Linked DNA regions of Callithrix jacchus. The protein of the gene in region 5 interacts with the protein of the main gene of each other region in a pairwise test. Links are inferred from orthologs where the notes say so. Each region holds a gene or a part of one and is shown on either strand. Other genes may lie near its edges. The genes, in order: ENTREP1, HSPB1, LITAF, ARRDC3 and BAG3.

Region 1 (5,881 bases), on a different chromosome or scaffold from region 5:
CATTTGTCTTTAAGGTCTGTCTTGTCTCCTGATTCAGAATAAAAGTTCAACATTCATAGAAGTTGACTGTGTTACATAGGATAAGTGGTTTTGATATCAGTGAAAATCAAAATGGATCTAAAAACTCCAATGTGCGAAGCTGCAGTCCTTGCCTCCTCCTGCCTGGGAAAAGGTATGGCATTACAAAACCTCACCTCTAAGGTCCAGTCCTGGAAGGCCCAGCAGATGGCCCAAAATATATCACAACAATCTCAGCACCTGAACTTTTAACCTGTCTGAAGCACAAAGATCTAGCAAACAGTTGTAATGATAACATCTAGTGAACCGTACAAGTGCTTGTTCTTTTTCCCCGAGCTATTTCCCAGGGAGCAAAACTTTGCAGAAGGTCCAGGCCCACTGCCTGGTGAATGCTCCAGCTCTTACTTTATCAGAGCTTGGCAGCCTTCCAGAAGTGGCTCCTGTTTTGGGGCTGTTGGGGCCAGACAGAGGGAAGGTGACAGAGAATGATAACTGGAGTAGCTAAGGGACACCAGGATGTAAAATGTTTCCCCTACCCAGACTAGTAACTGGAGCCTGATCCGGAACCATCAACTGATCAGACTTTTTAGGGTCTGTGGTTGATGTACCTCTTCATGCAAGTAATCAGATCATTCCTCCCCACTGGATCCCCTGAGGGACTGGGAGAGAATTTGGCTTCTGGCTTCTGTTAAGAAGAGGCCAGCAGGTAGAAAGAGGGAACAGAGGGAAAGTGAGAAGGGTATTTACTCAATCTGAGTTAAAATTTTACCTATGATCCTGAAGTTGGTAATTACCCTAAGAAATTAGCCCACTTCAATTGAAGAAGCATTTTGGGGGCATTTAATGCACAAAGACACAGAACCACATAACATCCAAATGCCATTGTGGGATGCTGTCTACAACCTCCACCCCACTACCTGTAGCAATGAAGCAAACATCCAAAAGGGAATGGCTTTTAAAAGAGTTGGAGAGAAGGCTGTTACCAGAAGGAAACTCCATTCATTCAGAAATAAAGGTACAGAGACTACCTAGTCCAACCCTTTACTTTAAAGAGGAGAAACCTGAGACTCAACTGGATTATGTTCATACCCAATTCTATCTTTTCCCCAAGTGGCTTCAGTTTTGGGGATTGCCTTGTACTTTTTAATCTATAGGAAGAAAAGGTGTTTACTCCTTTAGGACCTGTTTGCTTATATATCTTGCCAAACATTTCATGGTAATGTGAACAGCTCTTAGAATCTTGTCAATATTAAAATTCACCTATGTCATCATTTTCAAAGGGCTGAGAAAACATGCCCCATCAAAGGAAACCTTCAATTCAGGAAACCAAATGTTGCATGCACTCCACACTGTCCATAGCCTTTGTTCTTATTCCTAGAACACATTCTTTTCTTTTTCCAGACATCCTTTCACATCCCAGAAAAACTGGGTTTTCTTCCCTTGAGCCAAGGATGATGTAGGAAAGTCACCACACTTGAAAGGAAAGCTCCCTGGCTTCCTCTCTCTCCCTCCCCTGACCTCCCAACCACATTTACCTGAAGACTGTTACCATGAACTTACTCTGCCTCAGACAGGAAATCGGAGAAGCCACTTGAGCTGCTATGAAAATGAGTTATCTGATTCATGCCTGAGATTAATAATAAAACTACCTGTTCTAGGAAACTGGCACTTGTGATGGCTTCCTCCATGTGCTCCTCATCAGACTTCAAAACAGATTTAATGTTTTCTACAAGTTCATGGATGTCTGGGGTCATGCTACAGGAGGACTGCTCCAGGAACCTCGCCACCAGCAGCTTGGTGTCCATGTAGGATCTGTAATCTATCAAAGACTGCGGTCTGCATCGCGAAGCTCTCAATCTCAGGCCTCTCCTCAAAGTCACCGCAGCCAGATCCAGTCTCCTTTCAGTCTGTGTCGCAGCTTCACAGCTGAGCACTGGGGCAGCTGTTGGCAGAAACAAACAACATGTACCCATTGGCCAACCCCTTTTGAACACATGCCTGTACCTGAAAGCACAGACCACAAAACTCAACATGGAAGCATCTGACAAATGCTGATAGCCATGCACACCCTGCTTTTTATCTTGCAGAAGTGGGGAAAACAACTATGATACAAAGTTATTCCCTGAATCCAGTTCCAACTGGATATGGTCCAAAACATGTAATGGTGTCATGTACAACACCACCCCCAAGGTAAAGCCAGATGGTAGAGAGGAGAGTCCAGAATGCAAACCACAATGAAGTAAGTTTCATGGGGTATGACAAATAGATGGGGATGGATGGGCCAAGCAGGAAAAACGTGGCTGACCAATGAAAGGACATTCCAAGGAGTGAGGATGAAGCAGTCACTTAAGAGAGAAAGGGGCTGAAGAGAGACAAGACTTGTCAGATGAATGTAATGCTCTGGTCACTTTGACTATACCTTTGTCCCAAATGTCCTCAAGGACATTGTACTGACTTGCGTTATTGATGCTCACACCATGGATATGAGGTAGATCTACAGCTATTACAAAAAGAGAAACTTAGGTGCAGAAAAAGTACACATCATTTGGAAGTCAACAGAGGGCCTGGGAAATCCATCACAGGCTCTAATCTCCATGGCTACCTACATTAGCAAGGTTGTAAAGACCAGCAGAAGGCTTCTGCACTGTGAAGTGGGTGAAGCAAAACTCAGATCTGGTCATTATGCGTCCAGAAGCCAGCCAGCAGCCTTCAGTGTACACAACACTTGCATGTTCAGTCTACGAAGGCCTGATAAGCAGAAATTTAGAAATTCAAAGAAGACAAGAAGCAGGTGAGAGCAGGTGGAAGAAGGGGAGCACTCCTTTTCCTCTGGAGAAAGGCAGGTGTGGGGAGCTCTAAACCAGGATTCAAGACTGTCCTCTCAGGCAGCCATGTGCATGTCACAGAGAGCAAGAGTCTTTCAGAAGCACTCGCCAAAGACACTCGTGTGTGAGGACAGAGTCAGGGTCTCCACTCTTCCACTAGAAGGCAACCTTGTGCCTTCCACAATGGAGGGCTCCAGCAGCTGCTGTCCTTGTCCCTGCAGGTCTGCAGAATGAGAAAGGGTTCCAGAGAGATTTCCCTAAGCGGTGCAAATGGCTAAGTTTCCATTGAGGCTGGAGTCCTTAACTTGCCAATGTTGGGTATAGAAGACCCACAGTGAAGGCAGGTCTTGGGAATCAGAAGCCAGGCTGCCCGGCCACTAACTTTCAGAGACTCAGTACCAGGCGGCCGGACTTCCCACTCAGAAGCCACTGTAGAGACAGGAGTGTTCTCTCTGGCTCGCACATGGTCAGTCCAGAGCTGTGGCAAGTAACACACTGTCAGAGGGGCAGAACAGAGACTGCAAGGGCTCAAGGCAGGACCCTAGAGAGAGCAGGGTGGAGGATTATCAGAGTTTTATTTGCATAGAGTTTTAGAAGAGCAGAGGTCAGCTCTGCTAGACTACTTCACAAGAAGCCAGTGCTGGTGGAGTTACAGGAGGTTTTAATTTTCTTCCTTTAGTTTCTTTACTTTTTATAATTTTCTACAATGAAGAGATATTTGGAGATGTTCAGGTATTCATATATTCAGAAAAAATCATCAGTGTTGTTACTTTAATTTTTTTAAATGTTTAGTTATTCAGGTAACGTCTATACACAAACTGAACAGAGAGAGAGAGAGAGAGAAAGGTGAAGTGTGTGGGCATATGTATTTCATTCTATCAAAGTTCTAAAAACAAGGTCAGATTTCAAGAATTCAATCTACTCATACATAGTAAAAATATAACAAATTATAGAAGAGGGAGTATACAAAAATCCTTTTGACATTTTTTTAAGAGAATGCATATTCCCATAGGATTGCAGCATCTAGAAATCATAACTAGGTGTGCATAATTTTCTTCATGTAGCACCTAGCACAGTATCATGTACAACCAAATTCTTTTGATGACAATGACTTAAAAAAAAAAAAAAAACCCTACCATCCTTAAAAGACATGACAGTTGTATATTCCTAGCATACATGTAGAATATTTTACTTTCCCAAGGCCTCATAAGCTCTTTCGAATAACCACTTCAACTGTTGGGTCTTGAGCTGGCCAGAGCCACCTGCCTTCACCTGGCTCCTTTAGACAAATAAGCACAGAGTCCTACGAAGAGCTTGGGGAATGACATCACCTCTCTCCTCGGAATGATGGAGCATGGGGTCACTCTTCGACCTCGTCCTCAGGGGTGGGAGGGCTCTGTGGCTTCTCACAGGACACACCAGGGTTGAACTGGGAGTTGGCATGGATGCGTTTTCTTCTGCAGGTATGTTAGGAATGTCCCCACCTGATTTTTTTTTTAAAGAGGCAAAATATAAATTATTTCACCAGCTGTGGTCCTCGAAATGGACAGGAAACACCTGTGAGCCTAAACCTGCCAGGGCAAGGGTAATGTAGTTAATAACATTTACTCAGGCTGCTGGCCCAGTAAGTTTTTATATCACTGAACTATGGGAAAACTTGCCTTTCCAAACCACCCCTCCATGCCTAAAACAAACAAACAGAAAATTTAAATCCAAGAGCAAAATAAAGGAGCCATGCCAAAATGTCAGGGTTTTTTTTCCTAAAGGTGCTTAGAATCTTCTCCAGGGAAGCATCCTGGGGCAGTACTGAAAAGCTCCCTGACAGCTCAGGATAAACCTGGTTCTCGGGAAGCTAATACCTGGACAGGTGAGGTGGCTGCCCTGTGGGCTGAAGAACCCCCAGATGGCTAAGATAGAGAGTCAAGTCGCCACTAAAAAATCTGTAAAACCCCACTGGAATTGGATAATATATGCTCATGAAAATAAAATCACACCATTTGTGAGCCTGAGTTGTAATTCGGGAAACTGTTTTAAAAAATGGAAAGATTGACTAGGTGCGGTGGTTCATGCCTGTAATCCCAGCATTTTGGGAGGCTGAGGGTGGGTCACCTGAGGTCAAGAGTTCCAGACCAGCCTGGCCAATATGCTGAAACCCAGACTCTACTAAAAATACAAAAATTAGCTGGGCATGGTGGCACACGCCTGTAATCCCAGTTACTCGGGAGGCTGAGGCAGGAGAATCACTTGAACCTGGGAGGTGGAGGTTGCAGTGAGCTGAGATCTCACCATTGCACTCCAGCCTGGGCAAAAGGAGCAAAGCTCTGTCTCAAAAATAAATAAATAAAAATAAGATAAAATAATTAAAAATGGAAAAATTATGAACTTAGGAGACAGAACACTGCTTCATAATTCTACTTAGGATGGAAGGTGAACAGAGCACAGAGTATTACATTACAAATAGTACTGCTGAAAAATTACCTCCATCTAAAATTGCTAAGAGTTGATCCATTATTTATACCGTTTGCAATTTTGTCCTAGTGGACAATTCTCTGGGCCACTTAAAGCCTCCCCAAAGAGAGAAGGCCATAACAGTATTCCCTTAAATAACAGTGATAAATGTAAACTGGCTCTAGTACTTACTATAGTCCTGAAAAATCAGAATTCACTAGCTGCTCAGACAGCATGACCTGGGCCCTAGGTTATAAATGATATAGCACAATCTCATCTCAAACCACTCTGCAACAGAGAAAATCTTTTTCTCCTGCCAAAAGTCTAGCTAATTTTTAGGAGGAAGAAAATCATATGTCAGGAAACACAGGAATACCAAATCAAACTCTGTAATCTATTTCATGGTTCCTGAGAGCAGTTTGGCTCATAAAAAATTCTAAGGATATCTTTTTTCAGTTCACATATTTTCTCTGATTTATAAGCCCTAATAGTTGACGGTATTTTTGTGCCTGGAGAAAAAGATGTAGCTTGAACTATTTGCTGCAAGAATATCTGCCCTCCAACAAAACACCAGACAGGATCATTATTTT
Region 2 (5,763 bases), on a different chromosome or scaffold from region 5:
GTGGCTCACACCTGTCAGCCCACCACTTTGGGAGGCCAAGGCAGGTGGATTACTTGAGGTTAGGGGTTCCAGACCAGCCTGGCCAACATGGTGAAACCCTGTCTTTACTAAAAGTACAAAAATTAGGTGGTGTCGTGGCACATGTCTGTAGTCTGAGCTACTCGGGAGGCTGAGGCAGGAGAATCGCTTGAACCCAGGAGGCAGAGGTTGCAGTGAGCCGAGATTGGGCCACTGCACTCCAGCCTGGGTGACAGAGGGAGACTCCATCTCAAAAAAATTACAAATAAACATAGAAGACGTACAGTAAGAACACAGTGGTAGGGCGTAGTGGCTCATGCCTGTAATCCCAGGACTTTGGGAGGCTGAGGCAGGTGGATCACCTCAGGTCAGAAGTTCGAGACCAATTTGACCAACATGGAGAAAACCCATCTCTACTAAAAACACAAAATTAGCCAGGCATGGTGGCTCATGCCTGTAATCCCAGCTACTCAGGAGGCTGAGGCAGGAGAATCATTTGAACCCTTGAGGCAGAGGTTGCGGTGAGCTGAGATCCTGCTTATGCATTCCAGACTGGGTATGCAAAAGAGCAAAACTCCATCTCAAATTTAAAAAATATAAATCAACAAAACCACAGTAATATAATTTTTTGTTTTGTTTTTTGAAACAGGGTGGGCCAGGTGTGGTGGCTCATGCCTGTAATCCAAGCACTTTGGAGGCCAAGGCGGGCGGATCACCTGAGGTCGGGAGATCAAGACCAGCCTGATCAACATGGTGAAACCCCCTCTTAAGAAAAAAAAAAAGGAAAAGAAACAGGGTCTTGTTCTGTTATGCAGACTGGAGTGCAGTGGCACAATCAGGCTCACTGCAGCCTCCTGGGCTCAAATGATCCTCCCACCTCAGCCTTCTGAGTAGCTGGAACTACAGATGCACGCCACCATCCCCAGCTAATTTGTTTTGAATTTTAGTAGAAATGGGGTCTCACTGTGTTGCCCAGGCTGGTCACAAATTCCTTGCTTCAAGTAATCCTCCCACCTTAACCTCCCAAAGCCCACACACCTTGCAACCACACAGATTGTCAGATTCCTTTTTTTTTTTTTTTTTTTTTTGAGATGGAGTTTCGCTCTTGTTACCCAGACTGGAGTGCAATGGCACGATCTCGGCTCACTGCAACCTCCGCCTCCTGGGTTCAAGCAATTCTCCTGCCTCAGCCTCCCGAGTAGCTGGGACTACAGGCACGCACCACCATGCCCAGCTAATATTTGTATTTTTAGTAGGGACGGGGTTTCACCTTGTTGACCAGGATGGTCTCGATCTCTTGACCTCGTGATCCACCCGCCTCGGCCTCCCAAAGTGCTGGGATTATAGGCGTGAGCCACCACGCCCAGCCATCCAGCTAATTTTTAAACATTTTTTGGTAGAGGTGAGGTCTCACCATGTTGCCCAGAATGGTCTCAAACTCCCGGCCTCAAGGGATCCATCCTTCCTGCCTTGGCCTCCCAAAGTGCCGATTACAGGCATGAGCCATGCACCCAGCCCCTTTTTATTTTTTTGAGACAGGGCCTTGCTCTGTTGCCTAGGCTGGAGTGCGGCGGTGAGAACATAGCTCACTACAGCCTCGAACTCCTGGACTCAAGCACCAGACTGCTTTACATCACATTCCACACACAGCCTTGTGGTTCCAACCCTGCCTCTGCCACTTCCCAGCTGTTTGCCCCAGCCCAACCTGTCTGGCGCTGTCCTGCTTAACAAAAGGACTGGCCTGGCCGCCGGCCACACCCGCCAGCGCTGAAGCACCAGGGCCTCCGAGTGCCCTAGTGTGGCACGTCTCCAGCGTCGCACTCTCGAACTCATTTGTTTTCCTTAACGAGAGAAGGTTCCAGATTGGGGCAGAACCCTCTTCGCCCCGCCCACGGCCCCCTGAACTCTGCGGATGGGGGGGAGGGGTGCATGGGGAGAGGCGGTCCCAAACGGGTCATTTCCATTAATAGAGACCTCAAACACCGCCTGCTAAAAATACCCAACCGGAGGCACATAAAAGCGCGACCCAGCACCGCGGCCCGCACTTCTCCGAGCAGACGTCCCGGGCAGAGCCAGCCAGCATGACCGAGCGCCGCGTCCCCTTCTCGCTCCTGCGGAGCCCCAGCTGGGACCCCTTCCGCGACTGGTACCCGCACAACCGTCTCTTCGACCAGGCATTCGGGATGCCCCGGCTGCCCGAGGAGTGGTCGCAGTGGTTCGGCACCAGCAGCTGGCCGGGCTACGTGCGCCCCCTGCCCCCCGCCGCGGTCGAGGGCCCCGCAGTGGCCGCGCCCGCCTACAGCCGCGCGCTCAGCCGGCAGCTCAGCAGCGGGGTCTCGGAGATCCGGCACACGGCGGACCGCTGGCGCGTGTCCCTGGACGTCAACCACTTCGCCCCCGAGGAGCTGACGGTCAAGACCAAGGATGGCGTGGTGGAGATCACCGGTGAGCACCCCCTGGCCCTGCAGGGGAGGGGAGGAGGCTAGCGGGGAGGGCGGGGCCCGGGGGTGCGGTTGAAACCCCGGGCCTGGGGAGTTAAAAGTTAGCCCAGCACCGGGAAAAACGGGATCCGTCCGTGATTCCCCTGCTCAGGAATCGGGAGTGCAGGTCGCTTCTAAGGTCGCTTTCTGCTCTGTTATCTCAGCGCCTTGGGAGGCGGAGGCCAGGAGTTCAAGACTAGCCTGGGCAATATAGCGAGACCTCCCCCCCTACCAACTACAAGAAAATTAAAAAGCAACCAAAAATGTTTTAAAAGATCATCGGTGAAGAAATGCTTCTTTCCACGGAACTCTCTCCCCACCCGCAGCCCCATCCGCAGATAAGCGGGTCCCCTGGCGTGGTCCCTGTCCCTAGCCGCGCGAGGGGCGTGCGTGCTCCTCCCAGTGCGCCTGCGCGTTGCTCCCTCCGCCCCTCGGCACCCTGCTCCGTTCCTCCCAAAACTCTTACTCGAACTTTCCGGAAGTTTCTGAGAGCCCGGACAGGCCGGCACGCCCCCACCCCCAGTCTCCTCTGTTAATCCCTGCCAGCCTGCAGTCCTGGCTGCCTCCAAGCTGGAGGTGGGGCCTCTGGCCTGGCGGGGCCGAGAGTCGGTCCCCTTTCCCTCATTCTGATTTTCCTGTCCCCCGAAGGCAAGCACGAGGAGCGGCAGGATGAGCACGGATTCATCTCCCGCTGCTTCACCCGGAAATACTCGTGAGTCCTGCCGCCAGGTCGGGGTGGGTGGGTGCCGGGGGCTAGGGAGGAGGGCACAGGGACCCACCCGAAGTGTAATGTAACGTTCACATTCCCTCTCTGCACGTCCAGGCTGCCCCCTGGTGTGGACCCCACCCAGGTCTCCTCCTCCCTGTCCCCTGAGGGCACACTGACCGTTGAGGCCCCCATGCCCAAGCCAGCCACACAGTCCAACGAGATCACCATCCCTGTCACCTTCGAGTCGCGGGCCCAGCTTGGGGGCCCAGAAGCTGCGAAATCTGACCAGTCTGCAGCCAAGTAAAAGCCTTAGCCCGGATGCCCACCCGTGCCGCCGCCACTGGCCATGCCTCCCCCCCCACCTGTGTGTTCTTTTGATACGTTTATTTGTTTTTCTCAAATAAAGTTTGAAGCAACCCACCTGTCACTGGCTCAGACCCTGGTGTTTGTGGAAGGAAGCTTCGGGCACCTGCCATTCCCTGGCTTACACTAGCCACCTTTGCTCAGGGTGTGCTGGGTGCACAGCCCCGTGCTGGGCCATGTGGGTACTCCCGTGTAGGTTGCTAGGCACAGGCTAATTCACATCCATAAAGACAGAGAGGTCCTATTGCCCGGCATTGTGGCTCAGACCTGCAATACCAGCACTTTGGTAAGTTGAGGCAGGAGGATTGCTTGAAGCTGAGAGTTCAAGACCAGCCTGGACAACACAGTGAGACCCTATCTCTTAAAAATAAAAAGCCAGTTGCAGTGGCTCATGCCTGTAATCCCAGCACTTTGGGAGGCTGAGGGGAGCAGGTCATGAGGTCAGGAGTTCGAGACCAGCCTGACCAACATGCTGAAACCCCATCTCTACCAAAAATACAAAAATTAGCCAGGCGTAGTAGCATATGCCTGTAATGTCAGCTACTCAGGAGGCTAAGACAGGAGAATCACTTGAACCTGGGAGGCAGAGGTTGTGGTGAGCCGAGATTGTGCCACTGCACTCCAGCCTGGGTGACAGAGCAAGACTGTCTCAAAAAAAAAAAATAATAAAATAACAGAAATAAAAATTAGCCAGGGGTGTTATTGCACACCTGTAGTCCCAGCTACTCAGGAGACTGAGGCTGGAAGATTGCTTGAGCCCAGGAGTTGAAGCGTGCAGTGAGCTAAGATTGTGCCTTTGCATTCCAGCCTGGGCAACAGAGCAAGATCGTCTCAATAAATAACTAAAAACTCAGAAAGAGTGAGACCTTGTCTTTAAAAGAAAAAAAAAAAAGGTCGTGATTGCAAGGTCATGGTTGCAATTAAAACTGTAAGGTGTGGAAGCGGAGGAAATGGGAAGCACCTGAGGCTTGAGTTTTCACGGTCGGCGAGGCTGGGGCCCAGGTGAAGGGGCACGGGGGTAATTGCACCTCCCCGCAGAGATTACTGCGTCAGAAGCTTGGCTTCGGCTTCGGCGCACCCAAGGGCACCACAGTGGACCTGGTAAGCTTTGAGGTCGTCACTGCCACACCCCCTGAGGCCAGGGCATCCCTGTTGGCAGTCACAAGGGAACTGGCAGGCAGAACTGGGGTGAGAACGGAGCCCGCAGTCTCTGGGTGGGGAGATTGGGTAGCACCCTGGCCGACGCGCTCAGACCTGTGCTGCTGGCTCTGCCAGCGATTCTTGTTGCCTGTGTTTATTTTCAGTTGGCCTCCCTCCCGGTGTAGCCAGGCCTCCATGGGCCCAGTTCCTCTGTTGTCTGCCCTTGCCCTAGCTGCCACCCTCTAACCAGGCCCAGGGAAAGCTGTGGAGGTACATAGCAGATGGGGGTGCCAGGCGTAGTGGCTCATGCCTGTAATCCCAGCACTTGGGGAGGCCAAGGCAGGTGGATCACCTGAGGTCAGGAGTTCGAGAGCAGCCTGGCCAACATGCTGAAACCCTGTCTCTACTAAAAATACAAAAATTAGCCAAGCGAGGTGGTGCACGCCTGTAATCCCAGCTACTCGGGAGGCTGAGGCAGGAGAATCAATTGAACCTGGGAGGCGGAGGTTGCAGTGAGCCCAGATCGCACCATTGCCCTCCAGCCTGGGGGACAAGAGCAGAAACTCTGTCTCAAACAAACAAAAGCAGATGGGGGCTTTGGAGTTTGGTTTTGATGTCCTCAATTTTTTGAGGGACCCAGAGTCTGAGGCTGTAGCAAGACACTCCCATGTTCTTTTCTCAGCTGTGGGAAGTAGAAAAGTTCCTCTTTAAATTTCCTTCTTGTTTAAGAATAAATCATACGCGTGCTAGTAACTCTTTGTGAAGCCCTATCCTGTGTAGCTGTGAGACACGCCATGATTACAGGCACGTAGTACATTCTACATCCTTGTACTTTAACCAAGATGTCTGTGCTGGACGTGCTCACAGGTATGCAGCTGAAGCCCCTTACCTGTTTAAAAAAGCTTTAAATTACTAGCCAATCAGGTTTTAGTTTAGATTGAGAGGTCTGGCTCCAGCCAAGGGAGATCAGACACAGCAGTAAGGACGACCCCAAATGCCTAAGGGATAAATTTATTGTTTTTATTTTTTAAATTTTTTTAGAGATGGGGTTTC
Region 3 (4,915 bases), about 96 Mb from region 5:
CGTCTAGATTTACTCCTACCAGGAATCTTCAGTCCAGAAGGTCAAAGAAAGATTTTAGCATCCCAAATACAACAGGCTCTCACTAGGGAGAAAACTGAGGCCAAATGGTGTGAGCACATGAAGCCATGTTTATACATATTTCAGTATCCAACAGAGGTGGTCTCGTTAGCAACTGGGAGGCTAGTTGTCCCAGAGAAAACATTTTCATGGGTAACGCTGCGGTCAGCAAGGATCAGTCATGTGCTTACGTCTGGCTTCAATAGATGCGGTAGCTGAATAGTTTTGTTAGGACACAAACCAACACTTCTTAGAATGCCCCCTTGCCTAGACAGACACAGTGGAATATAAGATATGCAGCCACTTTTGGTATCAGATTGGTAAAATTCCTCTCTGCGGTCCAATAAAGCCCTTTCATTCACTAAACGTGAACCAGTGTTTGTGACACCCTCAGGTCCCCATCAGAAAGTGGCAAAACAAAAAAGCCTTTTAATTTGCAAAAATACGTAAATCCATACTTTAAACAATAAAATGCAATGTCCAGCGCTTCGTACTCCAGGCATCTGACGTGGAAGTTCCGTGTAATACATGTTTTTACGATCCTGAAATAGGGCTCTCGTTTTGAAGACTCTGCATGTGTAATTAATAACAGCTTGAGATCATGTATACGCCACCATCTGAGCCAAACTGCTAAATATGCATGGCCTCGAAAGCACACAATCAAGATCTGGAAAGCCGCAATTTTTCAAGACTGGAATTTAGGGTTTAAATGATAATGTGAGCCCCACCAAGATGACAGTATTTCCCTGCACCTACCGAAATGAAGCCGTCTCATCAGGTAGCAAAGGAGGGGGAAGGCGGCATCCATATTCCTGACACATTACAATACCCTCTTTTTAGCATCTCACAAAGCATGTTTTGTTCAGAGAATGAATGAGGACAGCTCTCTTCTGTGCATTTTATTAAAACTTGAAAGCTATGGCTTGCCGCCATCAATGACGCCTATTGGGTTCCAACAGCCGCATGCTCAAATCTGACTCGTTAGCAAATCCGCCCAACTCAACATCGGTCATCTTGAGATAGCAGGATATTCAGCAAGTCTGAAGTTTTTCATCGGGAAGAATTTTTCAACGTTACCGAGCAAATAAAGGCTCTTTGTAGCAACAGCTGGAAATGCAACCTGAGAGCCCTTTCTACACATCCAAAGAAATCATCAGTAGTTCACTGAGTGAACCAAAGACTTTATTTTTCAAAAGCAGGTAACACCAAAGTGGTATCCATATTCATTGCAAAATGATCATGACTGCAATTTTCCAAACACATAAAATAAGGGGGATCAATGGTTACCACGATCATGTTCAACCAATTATACAGATGTTCGTTGAAGATCTAGGTTTTATTTCTACATGGTAGTATTCACGTGAGTTCCTTATGCTTAATTATTATCAAATTGGAGCTTTTTCTTGACTTTAAAGACAACACAGCAGCTGGCTTGCTGCTTGGGTCCTGGAAATCAGGTCTTCGGATGTTTTACAACAAACCGTGTCTCTGAAAACTAAAATCAGACTTTAGATTCCTCTGAAAGAGTTCTGGTTCCTTCTGACACCAGGGTACCCGGACGTGCTTATCTTTCAAAACCCATCGCCAGGGACCCAAAAGGGATCCCACTTTCAGAGTTCCATGAAGGTGTTTAAAAACCAGATTATCCCCAAGTAAAGGCAGAGGATGAAATTATCCATGTCTTTTTATGTATTTTTTTTTTAAGTGAGACTACATGGACAAATGGGAAAATGACACCAATCGGACGATTACAGAAAATGTTAATAAATCCTCCTCTTAAAATTATATTCAGGCCAAGCACAGTAGCTCACGCCTGCAATCCCAGCACTTTGAAGGCCAAGGCAAGAGGATTGCTTAAGCCCAGGAGTTTGAGAACAGCCTGGGCAACAGAGTAAGACCCCATCTCTGTTTAAACAAAAAAAAAAAAAAAAAGAAATTCTGTTCAAAAGTATTTCAGACCAAAAGGAGGTAATAAAAACTGTTCATATAATTATGAGAAAAAATCCCTGCATGGAAGGGGTGCTGAAGGTCTGACACATAAACCGGGGGCGGGCGGGGGGGTCGGAGCAGTGATATAAATCCAGCCCTATTTTTTTAGCATGCGTTTATGACCTCGTGGATATATCTGTGCTGGGTGTTAATAACCCCTCTTCCTCGTACTTAAAAAAAATTAAGAAATTAAAGTGAATCTGTGTGCTAATGAAGTCTGCAGTTACAGAGTCTAAAAGCCAAGCCTGTAAAGTCTATAAGGCAAGATCTCTGTCATCAGGGATGGGAAGAGATGAGTAAGATAATGGTAGGCACTAAAGGCTGCCTCAGCCAAGCTCCAGGCAGAACAGCCTCCAGAATAAGGCAACTGTGGCTTCTCAGTGTGAGACCACTGCCAGAAAGGCCCACGGAGGCAGGAAAAAGAGCCACTGATGGCAGATCACAGGAAGAGACTCAGACAGGGCAATGATCACAGTTAGATGGGAGGACTCAGGGTCACAGGGAGGCAGAACTGATACTTGGACCGACACGCAAGGGGAATGTCTTTGCAAGTCCTACGCACAACTCCAAGCAGCAATTTCTGGGGTTTGGAGGTTGGTTAGTTTTGCGACATTTTCCCCCCCAAAGGAAGACATGAAGGTGGGCCCCCTGGAGAGGTGAGACCACTAGGGCAGAACCTCCACCAGGCGTGAAGCTGGATGAGTGGTGGAAAGGACTCCCTGCGGCACCCGGCTCCCTCCACTTCTGGCTGAGTCCTACAAACGCTTGTAGGTGCCCAGGAGAACTCTGCAGTTGGGACAGTAATGGTCCACGTCCTGCAGGGCGTCCACACAGAAGGGGATAAAGCAGCAGCCCGCTATGCACCTGGGAGAAGAGAGAGAGACACAGGGAGCACGTTACTGACTATAGCAGGATGGATGCTGGCTTCCAAAAACACAGGTTCATGTCCTTCTTTGTAAAAAGGGTCTTTGCCAGCGTAATTAAGGATTTTGAGATGGGATCATCTTGGATTACCCAGGTGGACCCCCAAAACTTAATGACCTTAGAAGAAAAGGAGAGGACACGGCAGGGGGTGGGGCGCAGAAGGGGATGTAAAAAAAGAGGCAGAGATTGGAGTGATAAGGCCACAAGCCAAGGAACACCTGGACATATCAGAAGCTGGAAGAGGCAAAAAAACAGTTCTCCCCTGGAGCCTTAAGGGGAGGGTGGTCTTGCTGACATTTTGGTTTTGGGGTGTTTTGTTTTTTTTTTGAGACGGAGTCTGGCTCTGTCACCCAGACTAGAGTACAGTGACACAACCTAGGCTCACCACAATCTCTGCCTCCCAGGTTCAATCGATTCTCCTGCCTCAGCCTCCTGAGTAGCTGGGATTGTGGGTGCACGCCACCAAGCCTGGCTAATTTCTGTATTTTTAGTAGAGACAAGGTTTTACCAGGTTGGCCAGGCTAGTCTTAAACTCCTAACCTCAAGTGATCTACCAGCCTTGGCCTCCCAAAGTGCTGGGATTATAGGCGTGAGCCGCTGCACCCAGACCCTGCTGACATTTTGATTTTACACCTCTGGCCTCCAAAATTATGAGAGTCAATGGCTGCTGTTTTAAACACTAGGTGTGAGGTCATTTCTGATAGCGGCCCTAGGAAATTAACATGCCAGCCACTGCCAAGGCTCCTCCCACAGACAGAGCCCCTCTGGGCATTATTTAAATCTTGGGTCATTTAGGAATCTTTCAAAGTCTTAGATGGGCTTGGTGAACTTTTTCTGCAAAGGGACAGACAGCATATCTTTTAGTCTTTTTATTGCTGGGTTTTGTTTGTTTTTGCAGAGATAAGGTCTCGATAGGTTGCGCAGGCTGGTCTTGAACGGCTGGCCTCAAGTGATCCTTCCACCTCTGCCTCCCTAAGTGTGGGATTACAGGTGGAAACCACCACACGCCCCGACTTGATGTTGCCACTACTCAGCTCTGCCCTTGTAAAGAGAAGGCAGCCACAGAGAATCCAAAAACCAATAGGTGTGGCTGGGTCCCCGTGAAACTTAAAACAGGCACCTGGCTCCCGGGCCGTTTTGCCAACCCCTGTCTTCCTAATCTCTTTTCCATGTGGACAGGCTGCTTCTTACCGCAACCGAACAGAATCCCCCAAAAAACGCCTCTTAACCTTCATAAAGCACCATTGGCACACACAGGCAGGAATTTCATACAGCCTGACAAGCAGTGTTTGCCAAAAATGTAGTTAAAACTCAACCTTTTATAGGAAGACGTTGCTTTACATAAAGCAGAATTTGGAAATATTCTCATGAGGAAACTATCTAATGAAAGAAACTTCCTCCTATTGCCCAAGCTTTCCAGAGCTCACACAGGGTGAGCAGTCAGTCCGCTCAGTGGGAATCTTAATCTACGGCTTACAGGTGCTGGCACAATTCCAGGCAGCACACACATCTTTATCCTCAGCTGCCCCCGAGGTGGGCGTTATTAACCCCCTGTCACCTGCCATCTATAGATGAGGAAACCGAAGCACAGAGACGTAAAGTCCCTTGCCTATGGCCACACAGCAAGTGAGAGGCAGGATTTGAACTCACTGTACCATGTTTAAGGAAGGAACAAAGGGATGGAAAGAAGGCCTGCCTCAATTTCTAAAGCCAGATGGGCAGCGGCTAATACTCAATGTAAGCTTCTATTCTGCAACAATCCCAGCATTTTGGGAGGTCAAGGCAGGAGGATTGCTTGAGTCCAGAAGTTCAAGACCAGTCTGGGCAACATAGTAAGACCCCCACCTCCACACACAAAAAATTTAAAAATTAGCTGGGAATGGTGGCACACACCTGTGGTCCCAGCTACTCAGGAGGCTGAGGTGGGAGGACTGCATGTACTCAG
Region 4 (6,571 bases), on a different chromosome or scaffold from region 5:
GTCCAGAGATGGAGCCCATCCTGGCTAATACAGTGAACCCTGTCTCTACTAAAAATATAAAAAATGAGCCGGGCATGGTGGCACACACTTGTAGTCCCAGCTTCTCGGGAGGCTGAGGCTGGAGATTTGCTTGAACCCGGGAGGCAGAGGTTGCAGTGAGCCAAGATCACACCATTGCACTCCAGCCTGGGCAACAGAGCGAGAGACTCTGTCTCAAAAAAAAAAAAAAAGAAAGGGAGAGAGAGATTTAGAGGTGTCAAGAGTTGTTTCTGGTATTTTCATTGTTTGAAAAAAATAGGAGGAGGAAAACATCAATTAAACTCACGTTTATACACGTGAGAACTAGGCGTGTGCCCAAATCTAAAGAGAAGAAAGGTGATAACCATGATAAGTGAATGATAACCAGGATAAAATGAAAATGGCAGGCCAGGCACAATGGCTCATGCCTGTAATCCCAGTACTTTGGGAGGCTGAGACAGGTAGATCACTTGAGGTCAGAAGTTTGAGACCAGCCTAGCCAACATGGTGAAACCCCGTCGCTACTAAAAATACAAAAAATAGCCAGGGCAGTGATATGTGCCTATAATCCCAGCTGCTCCGGAGGCTGAGGCAGAAGAATTGCTTAAAGCCAGGAGGCAGAGGCTGTAGTGAGCCAAGATTGTGCCACTGCACTCCAGCCTGAGGGACAGAGAGTGACTCCATCTCAAAAATAAAAATAAAATAAAAATGGCAGCTAGTAAGAATTTCTTGGCAATTTTTCAGTTACCTAAGTACTTAGGAAGAAACACTAATAAAGAAAATAAAGAAAAATAGCAAAATAAATAATAAAGGCAACTATTCAAAAGATCCTGAAAGCTTCAAACACAAAGAATAATGTACCATGCAGTGACAGGAAACACATAATATTTTAAAACAATTTTCCAAACTACAAATAAATTTCTTGGGGTTCTTTCTTATTAAATGCAATTCTAGTATATTTAAACAGCTAATTATTCTTTTTTTTCTCAAATAAGTTATATTCTAAGTAGATAAATTTTACTAAAAAAATCTGAATTCAGCTGTTGTTCACTAACTCTTAATAATTTTTAACACAAATGTGTAACGAATTTATGTATTCATTGTGTATTACACTTTTAAGTCCATTCCTTGCTCAGCCGTTTTTGAATGCTTAATAAGTATCATTGACCTTATGCTGAGGAAAAGCTGTCATCTAAGAAATTTACCACTTTTACCACCAGGTGGAGAAAAAACACAAGTAGTATCTGTTATCAAAACTAGTACAAGGTCCCAAGTACTTTACCTAGATTTCCACCAGGTGTCAACCAAGAGGGGAGAAAAGACACTATTATTTTTACCACTTAAATATATAAATTCATAATTTTAAGCAAAGAGATCTAAACTCTGAAATAAATGGCTTGCTCGATAAGTGTTTAAATAGTTTGCATAATTATACTCTATATATTGCTGTTGAGTCCAAGCTATTGCCTTGTCAACTAAAATCCAATTCCCCCAAATTTACTTTATTCTGAAATAAAGAAAACAGCAAGACCAGTAAGTTTAGCTTATTGTGACTCATAGGCTCAACCTATCCAAATACACACTCAAAAGAATCTAAAATGTTTAGATACGGACAGCCAAAAACCTTCCAAGGTATTTTTGGTCATATAGAGATATATATATATCGATATAGCACCAAATTCATACTTTTTCTCTCTACATTTCTCTTGTAAGGCGGTTCTGTTGATTGCCAATAATCTAAAGGAGTTTATGCTGTTGTGCTCTGAATCCCAGGATGATGTTACGAAAGCACTGCTATTTTTTACCATTCACAATAAAAAGAGAAATGTACCTAAATTTAAGATGTATCATGAGAATTACTACGTTAAATGGTCCAAGGCTCTCCGCTCAAAAAGCTTCACACAGTCAATCCCTACGTATATACCATATCACGCTTTTTAAAAAACTATTTTACGTGCTTCACTAATTTCTAACAAAGATTTTCCGATTCTGTTGCAAACAGTGTGTCAGCTAAACCACAATGTCATATGCCTTTTATAAGGTGGTACTTTTTTAGGCTGAACTCTATTCTTATTCCTCAGGACGCAGGAGTTGTAATCATGTCTTACTCTGCAAATCTAGTCGGAGGTGGTATCTTAATAGGGACTTTTTCTTCCTTCGAGGAAGTGGGCAAGCTTTCCCCTAGCCCTCACCCGTGTCATCCTGGAAACAACTTGGTTGTTTTTCGGTGGTATCTAATTAAACGATGGAGGAGAAAGAAGTTCAGCCTACTGATTACATTATATTTGCTTCTCTACCTTACTATTCAAAGGATTCTTTAAGGTTCCTTTGACCTCGACTGAGTTCATTTCCACTCTACCTCCCAAGTACTGTTAAAAAAAAAAAAAAAAAATCCAAGCCAAGAATACTATGAACAATACTTCTTGTCCTGTTTTAATACGTTTTCTTTTAAAATTCGTTAAGATTGTGCTCAACAATCGGCCGCTTGCCCAACCGGTTTCTCCCTTCCCCCATCTCTCTTCACACATCACTTCTTCCTCCTCCCATCCAGCTAGTTGGCAAAACCCTGCAGTGCCGGTAACGCACGCTTCGGGCTGGTCACTGCAGTTTATCCTTACTTGGCTTTGCAAACAACTCCCCACCCAGCCCTTGTCCCCTCGCGCCCCGTTCTGCCATTATCTTTCTAGTAGAGTGTGCTCGGTAAGGGGCTCCAGATAGCACGTCGAGGGTTTACGGTAGCCTGCCTACCAATAGGAGCCCACAATGAAGAGAAGTCAGGTTCAGCCTGCCGGCAGCTCCAGTATCTTCTTCCCCTAGCTCTACACCTACTGTACCCGGGAGCGAGCGAACAAGGGAGCGAGCAAGAGAGCGAGCGCGGCGCGGCGCGGGAGGGAGCGCGCAGGGAGGGCGGACAGCAGCCGCAACTTGCGCCTGCGCACTGGGGTTGTTTTTCACAAAGCTGCTCTTAAAGTGAGCTGGCAGCCTTTAGCCGCCCGTCTTTGTAAGGAGACCGCTGAGACGAGCAGGAGCGTGGAGCAGCAGCGTCTGCTGCCCTGACTTTTTAAGAAATCTCAATGAACTATTTGTAGATAATCACTGATCCGGCCTGCAACCATTTTGCACGGCAAAAATATCGATCAGTGTTAAGTGAAGATCACATTTTATATGTGATCTTGACTTTTTTGTCTTACATTATATTTTTATAGATTTTGTTATAAACATGGTGCTGGGAAAGGTGAAGAGTTTGACAATAAGCTTTGACTGTCTTAATGACAGCAATGTCCCTGTGTATTCTAGTGGGGATACCGTCTCAGGAAGGGTAAATTTAGAAGTTACTGGGGAAATCAGAGTAAAATCTCTTAAAATTCATGCAAGAGGACATGCGAAAGTACGCTGGACTGAATCTAGAAACGCCGGCTCCAATACTGCCTATACACAGAATTACACTGAAGAAGTAGAGTATTTCAACCATAAAGACATCTTAATTGGGCACGAAAGAGGTAAGTTTTTCTATTATTGAGAAGTCATTGGACTCATTTTCTTTGGAAACGTACCTTTTCAGTTTTCTGAATTAACGCGATTTTACTCCGAGCATAGCTAAGCAGTTTGATAAAGGTTAGCAAAGTTGCAAGGTTTGGATTCTCCTTGACGTTCATCGTGTGTTAAGCCGTAATGCATGCAGGCATCTGCAAAGTGACTGCAAACTGCACTTATTCAACTACCTCTATACCCGGCTCGGTTTGTGCCACACGCACTTGTAGTCCATTTGCACCTTATACATTCTGCTTGAATCCAATTCAATCGTTTTACTAATGTATTCTCAAATGAATTGCTAAAAGCTGCAGTTTTAGATTTTTGCAACCTAAGACTTAAAAACTGAACTTCGATCAAGAAATGTAATAACATATTTAAGAGGCTTAATTGGATGTTTCATTTTTAATATTGGAACGCAAAGACTTTAAAGAATTGATCACCTTTCTTTCACAAACGGTTTCTGTGGCTTATTTTGACATATGGTATCAACACCCCACGTGTTTTTTTATTCTTTTCCGTTCTTTTAAAAATTTACACCAAGCATTCCTTATTTTTAAGGGTATTATCTGTCATTATTATAGGTATTGAGTCAGTTTTAGAAGTCATTTAGGATCGGTAATTCTCTTTTCCGAGCATCATGTCTAACTTTGGAACATGCATTCAATGAAACCCATGCCAGTCAAATGGAATTGAAAACTATAGGGCATAGTGGATTTGATTTTTGGTTAGAAGAGGGAGATACAGGGTTGTCAAAGGGAGTAGAGGTCCTGAGATTTCCAATCTATTGTTTAAATGGTTACATTGTGGAAATATAGGAGACTCTAGGCTTGTTTTTCTAAGTTTCCACCCTTTGTTAGAAGCGGTTCAATCCTGTTTCGGACCAGTTCTGGGGGGTGGTGAGGAGGGGCGCTTGTTCTGCTCTCAGCAGATTGGTTACACGCGTCAGGTGGTGGCGATGACTTAATTCCTAGCCCAAGAAGAATATAATGTTAAAACTGGTTATGTAATTTTTGTGCCTCTCCTTTTTAATACAGTATTTAGTTCAGATGTTGGCGATTTTTCAGAAAAAAAAAAAAAACAGGCACATTTCACCTTCTTTTTTATATTAAAAATGTACATCCTGGAGAAGTGCTGATGACTGAACTACGGCAAGTGAGAAATGAAGGATGCTTTGAGTGACACTATTAATGCCTTATTTTTGAAACTATTAAGGTGAACTCAGTTCTTTAGTAGGGTAGGGTTTTCGTAGACACAGTTACTTTGTATCCAGAAATAATTAATCTCTCCAAGCGTTAACACTGATAGGAGATGCAAATGCCTAATGACAGTCTTGGTATTTGTTGAAAACCAGATACATGACTTAGTGTTTGTACCTTTCTGAATATGCAGCTATTTATGAAATGGGTGAAAAGAAACAGGTTTTTCTTCAAGGAGTTGAGACTTGCAATGGGGGGAAAGTAGAACGAGTTGTGGGGACAAATATAATTTTATTAGTCACACTATGATTTCATGGCAAAGAAAACTAAGTGCCCTGCCACCCCCTACAAAATGCCCCCCAAACCCTGCTACGCGTAGACTAGATCGGTCTGGAATAGTTTCAATGAGACTTGAAACTGGGAGCTCTCAAACTAGCCTGGTAACTGAGACCCCGCCCCGGGCGCCCGGGATAGGCAAAGCCAGGTTTGTTAGCCTGTTGCTAAGGCGATGGCAGGCGCTGATTGGATTGGGCGCGGGCGGGTGGGGAGAGTGGGCTCGCGCCGCCGCTGGGGCGAGGCTAGGAAACCGGCGTGCGCCGGTAAAGGTCTCTCCAGAGCAACCCGTACTCCCGTACTTACGTTTGTTCCCGGGCTTCTGGAGGCGCCCGGCCCTTGTCACATCACGTTCTGTCGCCCCTCTTTTGGGCCTGATAAGGGCCATCGAAAGGAAACGACTTCAGGATTTAACTGAGTAGACGGCAGACGTACCTTCTAGCCTTACAGGTGCCAGATGGCTCTGGACGCAACTTTAGCAGAAAATCCTTTTTAGATGGGAGTTTGACGCGAAGGGTTGGCAGGACCCCCTTAGCTATCTTCCGGGAGGGGCATACTGGGGGACTCCTGTGAACGCTTGTTTTCCCCTTAGCTGAAACAAAGAGTGTTGCCCGACTTCTCTAGTCGCCAGACTGGCTACCTTGATTCGACTTGAGGGGAGAGAGCAAAGGTTGGCCCGGGGGAGAAAGTGATTCCAATATCGAAATCTGGGTGGGGGCCTCGACGGGTGTCCCCTGCCCCCTCCCCCATTGTTTCCCGTAGCCTACCGGCCCCCGCCTCCCCTCCGCCGCCCCAGTTTCCCTCGCTGCAACTGTAAAGGTGTCAGAGTGGCCCGAGCCAGATCGAACCGGTCGCCGGCTGGGGCGTGTAAAGCGGAAGCGCAGCGACTCTGTCGCCCCTCCTCCCCGTCCAGCATGTTAGGCTGCGCGGGCACGGGCGCGAGCTCCGCGCGACGTATGCCGTATGTATAGCGGGGCGCGCGAGCGGCGGCGGCGCGCGGGCGGGCCGGCTGGGATCTGCTCGCGCCGGTTTAGGCCGGTCCTCTCCTGCTCCGGTCTAGTTCTTGATTGACAGCCGGGCACTTGTTTACCACGGCGCGGCCGCCGCCGCCGCAGCCGCTAGCCTCAATGAGACTGCTGAGCTGGCACAAAAAAGGGAGCGAGGAGGGAAGAAAGGGAGAAGAAGGCAAACTTTGGGCGCCTTGGACAGGAGCGAATTTAAATGGCCCCCAGTTCACCAGCTAGTTTTTGATTCTGAAATCCAGTCAGGGGATTTGCACAGGGGGTGAGGAAAATCGTATGGAGACATAAGCGAATCACCATGATTTTTCAATAAAAGTATCGACGTATACATGCCTTTTTCCTCCTTTTCTCGTTTAATATCAGGGAAGCATCACGTTTTTTGGGTGTATTCAGTACTTTTCTGAAGGAAAGTTAAATAATGTGCCGGTTTTTCCCTACTCTGAGGGCTAATCGCAAAGGTTTCTACAC
Region 5 (6,527 bases):
TGGTGGCGCGTGCCTGTAATCCCAGCTACTTGGGAGCCTGAGGCAGGAGAATTGTTTGAACCCAGGAGGGGGAGGTTGAGGTGAGCCGAGATGGAGATCGCACCATTGTACTCCAGCCTGGGGGACAAGAGTGAAACTGTCTCAACAAAACAAAAATGTTAAACAAAATAAAACAAAAGTGTTAAACATCCTGAAGCTGAGTCATCCCCCAAAAGAGAGGTTTCTCTTGAGCTCCTCACGCTCAATGAACAGCTTTTTGCTGACTGACAGCATTTCCTCTTGAAGATGGTAATGCCCAGATCTGAGCCTCAGCTCAACTCCTCCAAAATTACCCTTTGTTTTTCTGCAAGGGCCCTTTTCTCATTATGCATTGAAAAACCAATTTCAAATACAAAATGATACTGAAGGATTTTTTACTACATTTAGTCTTGAGTAAGGTGTAATTCACACAAGTACAACTGAATTAGTCACCATATATTGCGTGTGTCAAAGCACAGGATCAAAAGCAATGAAGCACAAACAGCTCATGGGCTGAATGTTAATTTTCTCCTTAAGTTTTGGTGCCATGCTCACAAGTCTCAAGTCATTGATTTGGTAAAGAGAACTCTCTTCTTTTTTTTTTTTGAGACGGAGTTTCGCTGTGGTTACTCAGGCTGGAGTGCAATGGCGCAATCCCGGCTCACCGCAACCTCCCCCTTCTGGGCTCAAGCAATTCTCCTGCCTCAGCCTCCCGAGTAGCTGGGACTACAGGCACACGCCACCATGCCCAGCTAATTTTTGTATTTTTAGTAGAGACGGGGTTTCACCATGTTGACCAGGATGGTCTTGATCTCTTGACCTCGTGATCCACCCGCCTCGGCCTCCCAAAGTGCTGGGATTATAGGCGTGAGCCACTGCCTCCAGCCCGAGAATTCTCTTCTTGAGTTGATCATGTCCCATCATCAAAATCCAAGCAATCACAGCACAGAGGTCAGTGACCCAATAACTTGGTGGCCAGGAGGGCACAAAGGTAATCAAGTATTTTAGCCTGCATGCTTCACGGTTTCACAAAACATTCACTTCCACCTTCTGAACAGACACACTGCCTCTTATGAGGACTCTCCTGACATCAGTACTCTCCCTGCTATCGGTACTAGCTGGGTGACCTTCAAAAATCACACCTGAACTCTCCAGGTTTTTTCAGAAAATAAAGAAGCCTACCTAAAAGATCTTCAAGGACCTTTCAACTTTAACATTTTCACTGTGAAATTTTCAAATAAACCTTTCCAGCATCAGACTTCTGATTTAGTAGTTCTTACTTTCTATTTGTTGAGAAGAATAATGGTAACTAAACCTGCTTTTTTCCTTTTAAGGTTTAGGAAACCACAGCCTAACCCAGGCACCAGGTGGGTACAGGAAGATCTCAACTTGCTGGGTAAGTTTCATGCTGAGAACAAAGTACTGACAATGTTTACATTCAAACTTAATCTTCACTCATAACAAAGGCTGCCAGCAAATGCTACTGTCCCTATGTCTACAGGAAGAAGCCCTCAAAATAATAGTTGTAAACCACACTAAAGATCATGTACATCCACGCAGACTGCTAAGAAAGGGGGTTTGAAATGAGCGTCAGTTTCACCCAAAAATGGGTTGGACACCCAAAAAGGTATATTTAACTGTGCCCATCCCAGCTAATTACAGCCTCTTATATTAATTTTCAAGAATAAATATACAATTAATCTCTCGTAAATGTAAACTGCTGACTGTACACCATCTCACTGTTGGGAACCAGAGTTTTGTCAATATTGTTAAAACAGAACGTGTATAAAAATGAAGGGAAATAATATGGGTCTTTCTTCTAAAATCATGAGATACAAAGCATTTTTAATTTGCTGAGTTTTTAAATCTTCAAAATAATTTATCACCTCTTTTGCTGCTTCTATCTTGCCCAGACAGCAGTCACAATTACGTTTTAAGTATAACATAATTATTTTTAAAACCTTTTTATTTTGAAAGCTCAAATTTACAGAAAATGGAAAGAATAGTATAAGTATGATTTTTGAAAATTAACAGACTCATTCCAAACTTATGTTTTCAAATTTCATGCTCTTGGGGATTAAAAAGTATATATCCTTGCATATATGTAAATGAGACATACTTCTGCTATATTCACAAGAGTATCATTACTCAGTTATTTGTGTACTGGTAACAAATCCTAAGTATTTTAATACCATAACAAGGCAGGAAGCGAATGCCATTATAAACATACACATTATCGTTCTCTTTCTCTCCAGGGTGAGGCAATGTGGTAATGCAATGGCCAACTGTAAGACAGTCTCCCGTCTAGTTTAGAAACTGCTGGGGAGAAATGCACCCCGTTTTTAATTTTACAAGTGATAATAGGATACATACAGATCCAAAGCACTTTCAAACAATAATACAATTTTAATTTGACACACACACACACACACAGGCATAAATGTTTTGACACCAGCTTCCTGAGTCATTGGGTGCCTCAGATGGGACAGTAGTGAAGACATCCCTCAACCAAGTTAGGGAACTTGAGAGGTAAAAATCCCCCAAAACCACCATCCAAGCTTGTGTCTCCCTCGCGTTCGTGGACAGCGGGGTGCGCCGCGGGTCCCGGGCCCGGAGGCCAAGCGGGCAGCAGGGACTGCGGCCTCCGGAGCCGACCAAGCCGGCTGCCCTCCTCCAAGCTCGGGAGGGCTAGGCCAGCGCCGGACACCCGGCCCTCCGTCCTGGAGTCGAGCCGCGGACGGCACAGGGGCCACTGCGGGGACGGTTCCCGGGCCACCGGATCCCGGGGCCTCCTTTGGCCCGGACGCCTGTCAAGGGCGGGTCGGGAGCAGGGACTCGTCCGGGAGCCGCGGGAATGTGTGGCTGGGCGCGGAGCCGGTGTCCGCCTGAGAGGGGCCTTCGCCGACCCCCGGGCCCCGCTTCTCGCGTCCCACCCGCCCGGCCCCCTTCCCGCCGCCCGCCGTCGAGGTGGCGCCATCGACCAGGGCGGGCCGCGGGCCCGGCTCACCTTGGGGCCCTCGGGGGGCACGCGCGGGTCGTTCCACGTCGTGGTGCGGCTGTTGTGGTCCACGAAGAAGGGCCAGCCGGTCTGCGGGTCGATCTTGATCTCCCAGCCGGGGGGCAGGGGGTCGCGGTCACCGTTGCCGGACGCCACCTGCATCATGGGCGAGTGGGTGGCGGCGCTCATGCTGGGTAGGGGTTGGGGTCGGCCCGGAGCGGGGGCCGCCGGGGCGCGGGTGCGGAACGCGGGCTCCGGGCGCCGAGTCTCTGGCCTGGCCGCCGCCGCGGGCCCCTCTCCGCCGCCGACGTGTCCGGGAAGCCGGCGCCGGGCACCTTTATGAATTAAAGGCGGGGGTGACGTGGCCTGAGAGGGGTGGAAGTGTCTGGAAATAGCCTCCTCGCTGCTAGAGGAGAAGGAGGAGATAAAGGGAGGTAGCAACTGGCCGGCTAGAAACTTCTAGTCCCGTCCAGAGAAGTTGGCCGCGGCCCGGGGTTGGATGCGGAGCTCCGCCCTGAGTCATCGGCTATAATCGCGGCGGGCGGGGGCGGGGCCTCGGCCCTCTCGTTCGTCCCCGACCTCCCCGCCCTCCCCCGCCTCCCTCCGCCCCTCCCCGAGCCTCCTAGTGCGCGTGCCCCGGCCGGAGTGGCCGCGGGCGCGCCTTCGGGGCCTGACTGCGGATGGGACGCCGGACGCACTGAGTTGGGGTCGTCCTCCGTGCGCCCTGGGCGGGTTTCGGCTTTCACACTCCCTCCCTCCCTCTCCTTAGCGCCTAGTGAGTTTTCCCTGGGCCGGAGCCGGTCCTCCCCGTGCCTGCCGCCCCTCCTTTCTGTACAAACAAAGCCATCTCACCCACCCCATCCCCTCCCCCATATATGACAGCCCGGGACACTGAGGGCTGCCTGGGAGGAGCGCGGGGACGCTCATCTGACACTAGCAGGAAGGCAGGGAGAAAATGGAAGTCAGTGCAAACTCACTTGCCTTTCTTTGGAAACTTCAAGGAAAAAAAGATTGTGTCAGCTGATGGTTTTTAGTCTCCCAGACTAAAAAGAAAGTTTCGTTGTAGTAAACAGCTTTACAGAAAAATCACATTCTCTTGGGTTTGGATCTTTTTTATAGTAGAGGTTGGTTCTTGCTATCCTACATCTTGACCCTCATTTGGGAAGTAAAGACCTAACCTAACCGTGACATTTTTTCGCTTGGTTCATTGAATGGAGGTTGCACTTGTAACCTGCCAAAGGAGAAAATGACAACATTTTTAATTTAAAGATCTTTTTGTTTGTTTTTATTTGTTAACTTTTATTGTTAGTTTAAAGATCTTAACTGATTTTGTGATTCTAGAATTGGGCAACACCTCCATTAAATTAGAATAAGTGTTCCTAAAAGCCGAGCAGAAGAGGTTGGTTTTATAGACAGAGAAGGGCTGAAGAAAACAGAAACAAAGAACCAAGGCTGAATTGGTTGTTTTAAAATTACTTTCCTCGTAAGGAGGGGACAGAGAGAATCACAGAAAAATAACGGATGAGGGCTTGGCACTGTGGCTCATGCCTGTAATCCCAGTACTTTGGAAGGCCAAGACTGGAGGACCTCTTGAGTCCAGGGGTTTGACCAGCCTGGACAACACAGTGAGACCTACACCTCTACAAAATAAAAAAATAAGGCAGGTGCAGTGGCTTATGCCTGTAGTCTCAGCTACTCAGGAGGCTGAGGTGGGAGGCTCACTTGAGACCAGGAGTTTGAAGCTGCCATGGGCTATGATTGTGCTCCTGATGCCAGCCTAAGCGACAGAGCAGGACCCTGTCTCTTAAAAAGAGAGAGAGAGAGGGAGAGAGAGAGAGAGAAATGATTGGTTAACATCAGGTTACATACTTCAGATTACTGTACAATTGACCCTTAACATGGGTTTGAACTGAGCAAGTCCACTTGTACATGGATTTTCTTTTTTTTTGAGACAGAGTTTCGCTCTTGTCACCCAGGCTGGAATGCAGTAGTGCAGTCTGGGCTCACTGCAACCTCCGCCTCCTGGGTTCAAGTGATTCTCCTGCCTCAGCCTCCGGAGTAGCTGGGATTACAGGCGCCCACCACCACACTGGGCCAATTTTTGTATTTTTAGCAGTGATGGGGTTTCACCATGTTGGCTTGGCTAGTTTAGAATTCCTGACCTCAGGTGATCCACCCCTGTTGGCCTCCCAAAGTGCTAGGATTATAGGCATAAGCCACCGCACCTGGCCTGGATTTTTTTCAATAAAATTTGCACTGAGTATGCTTGCTTCTCCTGTCTCCCCTTCCACCTCTTTTACCTCTTCTGCCTCTGCCACCCCTGAGACAGTGGATTCTCACTGTCTCCTCCTTTTCCTTCCCCTCCTCAGCCTCCACGTGAAGATGATGAGAATGATGACAATTATCATGATCAACTTCCAATTAATGAGCAATAAATGTAAATCTCTTCCTTATGATTTTCTTAATTTTTTTTCTCTAGCTTACTTTATTGCAAGAACACAGTATATCATACATGTAACACACAACATGTGTTAATTGACTGTTCATATTATTGGCAAGGCTTTTGGTCAACAGTAGGCTATTGGTAGTTTTGGGAGAGTCAAAAGTATGCAGGGGCTGAGGGTGGTGGCACACGCCTGTAATCCCAGCGCTTTGGGAGGTCAAGCAGGAGATCACTTGAGATCAGGAATTCAAGACCAGCCTGGCCAACATGGCAAAACCCCGTCTCTACTAAAAATACAAAAATTAGCTGGTCGTGGTGGCACTCTTCTGTAATCCCAGCTACTCGGACGGCTGAGGCAGGAGAATCACTTGAATCTGGGAGCCAGAGGTTGTAGTGAGCCTGAGATCATGCCACTGCACTCCAGCCTGGGTGACAGAGCCAGACTCCGAATCAGAAACAAAACAAAACAAAAACAAAGTATGCAGGGATTTTCTTTTTTCTTTTTCTTTTCTTTTTTTTTTTTTTTTTTGAGACAGGGTCTTGCTCTGGCTCCCAGACTGTAGTGCAGTGGCGCAATCTCGGCTCACTGCAACTTTGCCTCCGGGGTTCAAGTGATTCTCCTGCTTCAGCCTCTCAGGTAGCTGGGATTCCAGGCGTGTACCACCATGCCTGGCTAATTTTTGTATTTTTAGTGGAGACAGATTTCGCCATGTTGGCTAGGCTGTTCTCAAATTCCTGATCCCAAGTGATCCACCCGTCTCAGCCTCCCAAAGTGCTGGGATTATAGGTGTGAGCCACCGTGCCCAGCTATGCAGGGATTTTTGACTGCACGGAGATGGTACCAACAACCACCTCCTGTCACCCCCAACCCCCACCCCTCATTCAAAAGTAGCCTGTTTGGGAAATTAGACTATCATCTCTCCTGATTTCTCAGAAAGTCAGATAACAGGTTGGTTTGGGGTTTGGTGATGTGGAACTTTAGCATGAGTGATTCCTTTCTGATTTTTAGTTGGGTCTGTCGAGGCCTAATCCAAGAGCTTAGTCCAAAACAGTGACCTTCTATAACTT

Evidence for each region.
Region 1: the proteins of BAG3 (region 5) and ENTREP1 interact in a two-hybrid assay, tested with the Homo sapiens proteins (2 studies listed by BioGRID and IntAct). The link is inferred for Callithrix jacchus from reciprocal best matches to the Homo sapiens genes BAG3 and ENTREP1.
Region 2: the proteins of BAG3 (region 5) and HSPB1 interact in binary tests that used the Homo sapiens proteins (3 or more experiments, as listed by UniProt). The link is inferred for Callithrix jacchus from reciprocal best matches to the Homo sapiens genes BAG3 and HSPB1.
Region 3: the proteins of BAG3 (region 5) and LITAF interact in binary tests that used the Homo sapiens proteins (3 or more experiments, as listed by UniProt). The two-hybrid records come from large-scale screens. The link is inferred for Callithrix jacchus from reciprocal best matches to the Homo sapiens genes BAG3 and LITAF.
Region 4: the proteins of BAG3 (region 5) and ARRDC3 interact in binary tests that used the Homo sapiens proteins (3 or more experiments, as listed by UniProt). The two-hybrid records come from large-scale screens. The link is inferred for Callithrix jacchus from reciprocal best matches to the Homo sapiens genes BAG3 and ARRDC3.

Annotation. Positions count from the first base shown.
Region 1 is NC_133502.1:95,517,812-95,523,692, forward strand, and holds part of ENTREP1 (endosomal transmembrane epsin interactor 1), read right to left. Parts: intron 4,328-5,881; coding exon 4,175-4,327; intron 1,961-4,174; coding exon 1,668-1,960; intron 1-1,667. UniProt on the Homo sapiens protein: Functions as an activator of the E3 ubiquitin protein ligase ITCH in the ubiquitination of the CXCL12-activated CXCR4 receptor. Thereby, triggers CXCR4 endocytosis and desensitization, negatively regulating the CXCL12/CXCR4 signaling pathway.
Region 2 is NC_133503.1:11,063,533-11,069,295, forward strand, and holds HSPB1 (heat shock protein beta-1), read left to right. Parts: upstream 1-2,059; 5' UTR 2,060-2,099; coding exon 2,100-2,463; exon of another isoform or gene 2,464-2,904; intron 2,905-3,146; coding exon 3,147-3,210; intron 3,211-3,321; coding exon 3,322-3,511; 3' UTR 3,512-3,631; downstream 3,632-5,763. UniProt on the Homo sapiens protein: Small heat shock protein which functions as a molecular chaperone probably maintaining denatured proteins in a folding-competent state. Plays a role in stress resistance and actin organization.
Region 3 is NC_133513.1:17,575,635-17,580,549, reverse strand, and holds the end of LITAF (lipopolysaccharide-induced tumor necrosis factor-alpha factor), read right to left. Parts: coding exon of another isoform or gene 4,912-4,915; exon of another isoform or gene 4,850-4,911; intron 2,911-4,849; coding exon 2,802-2,910; 3' UTR 1,218-2,801; downstream 1-1,217.
Region 4 is NC_133503.1:119,360,194-119,366,764, forward strand, and holds the start of ARRDC3 (arrestin domain-containing protein 3), read left to right. Parts: upstream 1-3,013; 5' UTR 3,014-3,238; coding exon 3,239-3,518; intron 3,519-5,361; exon of another isoform or gene 5,362-5,896; intron 5,897-5,905; exon of another isoform or gene 5,906-6,571. UniProt on the Homo sapiens protein: Adapter protein that plays a role in regulating cell-surface expression of adrenergic receptors and probably also other G protein-coupled receptors.
Region 5 is NC_133513.1:113,171,452-113,177,978, forward strand, and holds the start of BAG3 (BAG family molecular chaperone regulator 3), read right to left. Parts: upstream 3,520-6,527; 5' UTR 3,206-3,519; coding exon 3,026-3,205; intron 2,954-3,025; exon of another isoform or gene 1-2,953. UniProt on the Homo sapiens protein: Co-chaperone and adapter protein that connects different classes of molecular chaperones including heat shock proteins 70 (HSP70s), e.g. HSPA1A/HSP70 or HSPA8/HSC70, and small heat shock proteins (sHSPs), e.g. HSPB8.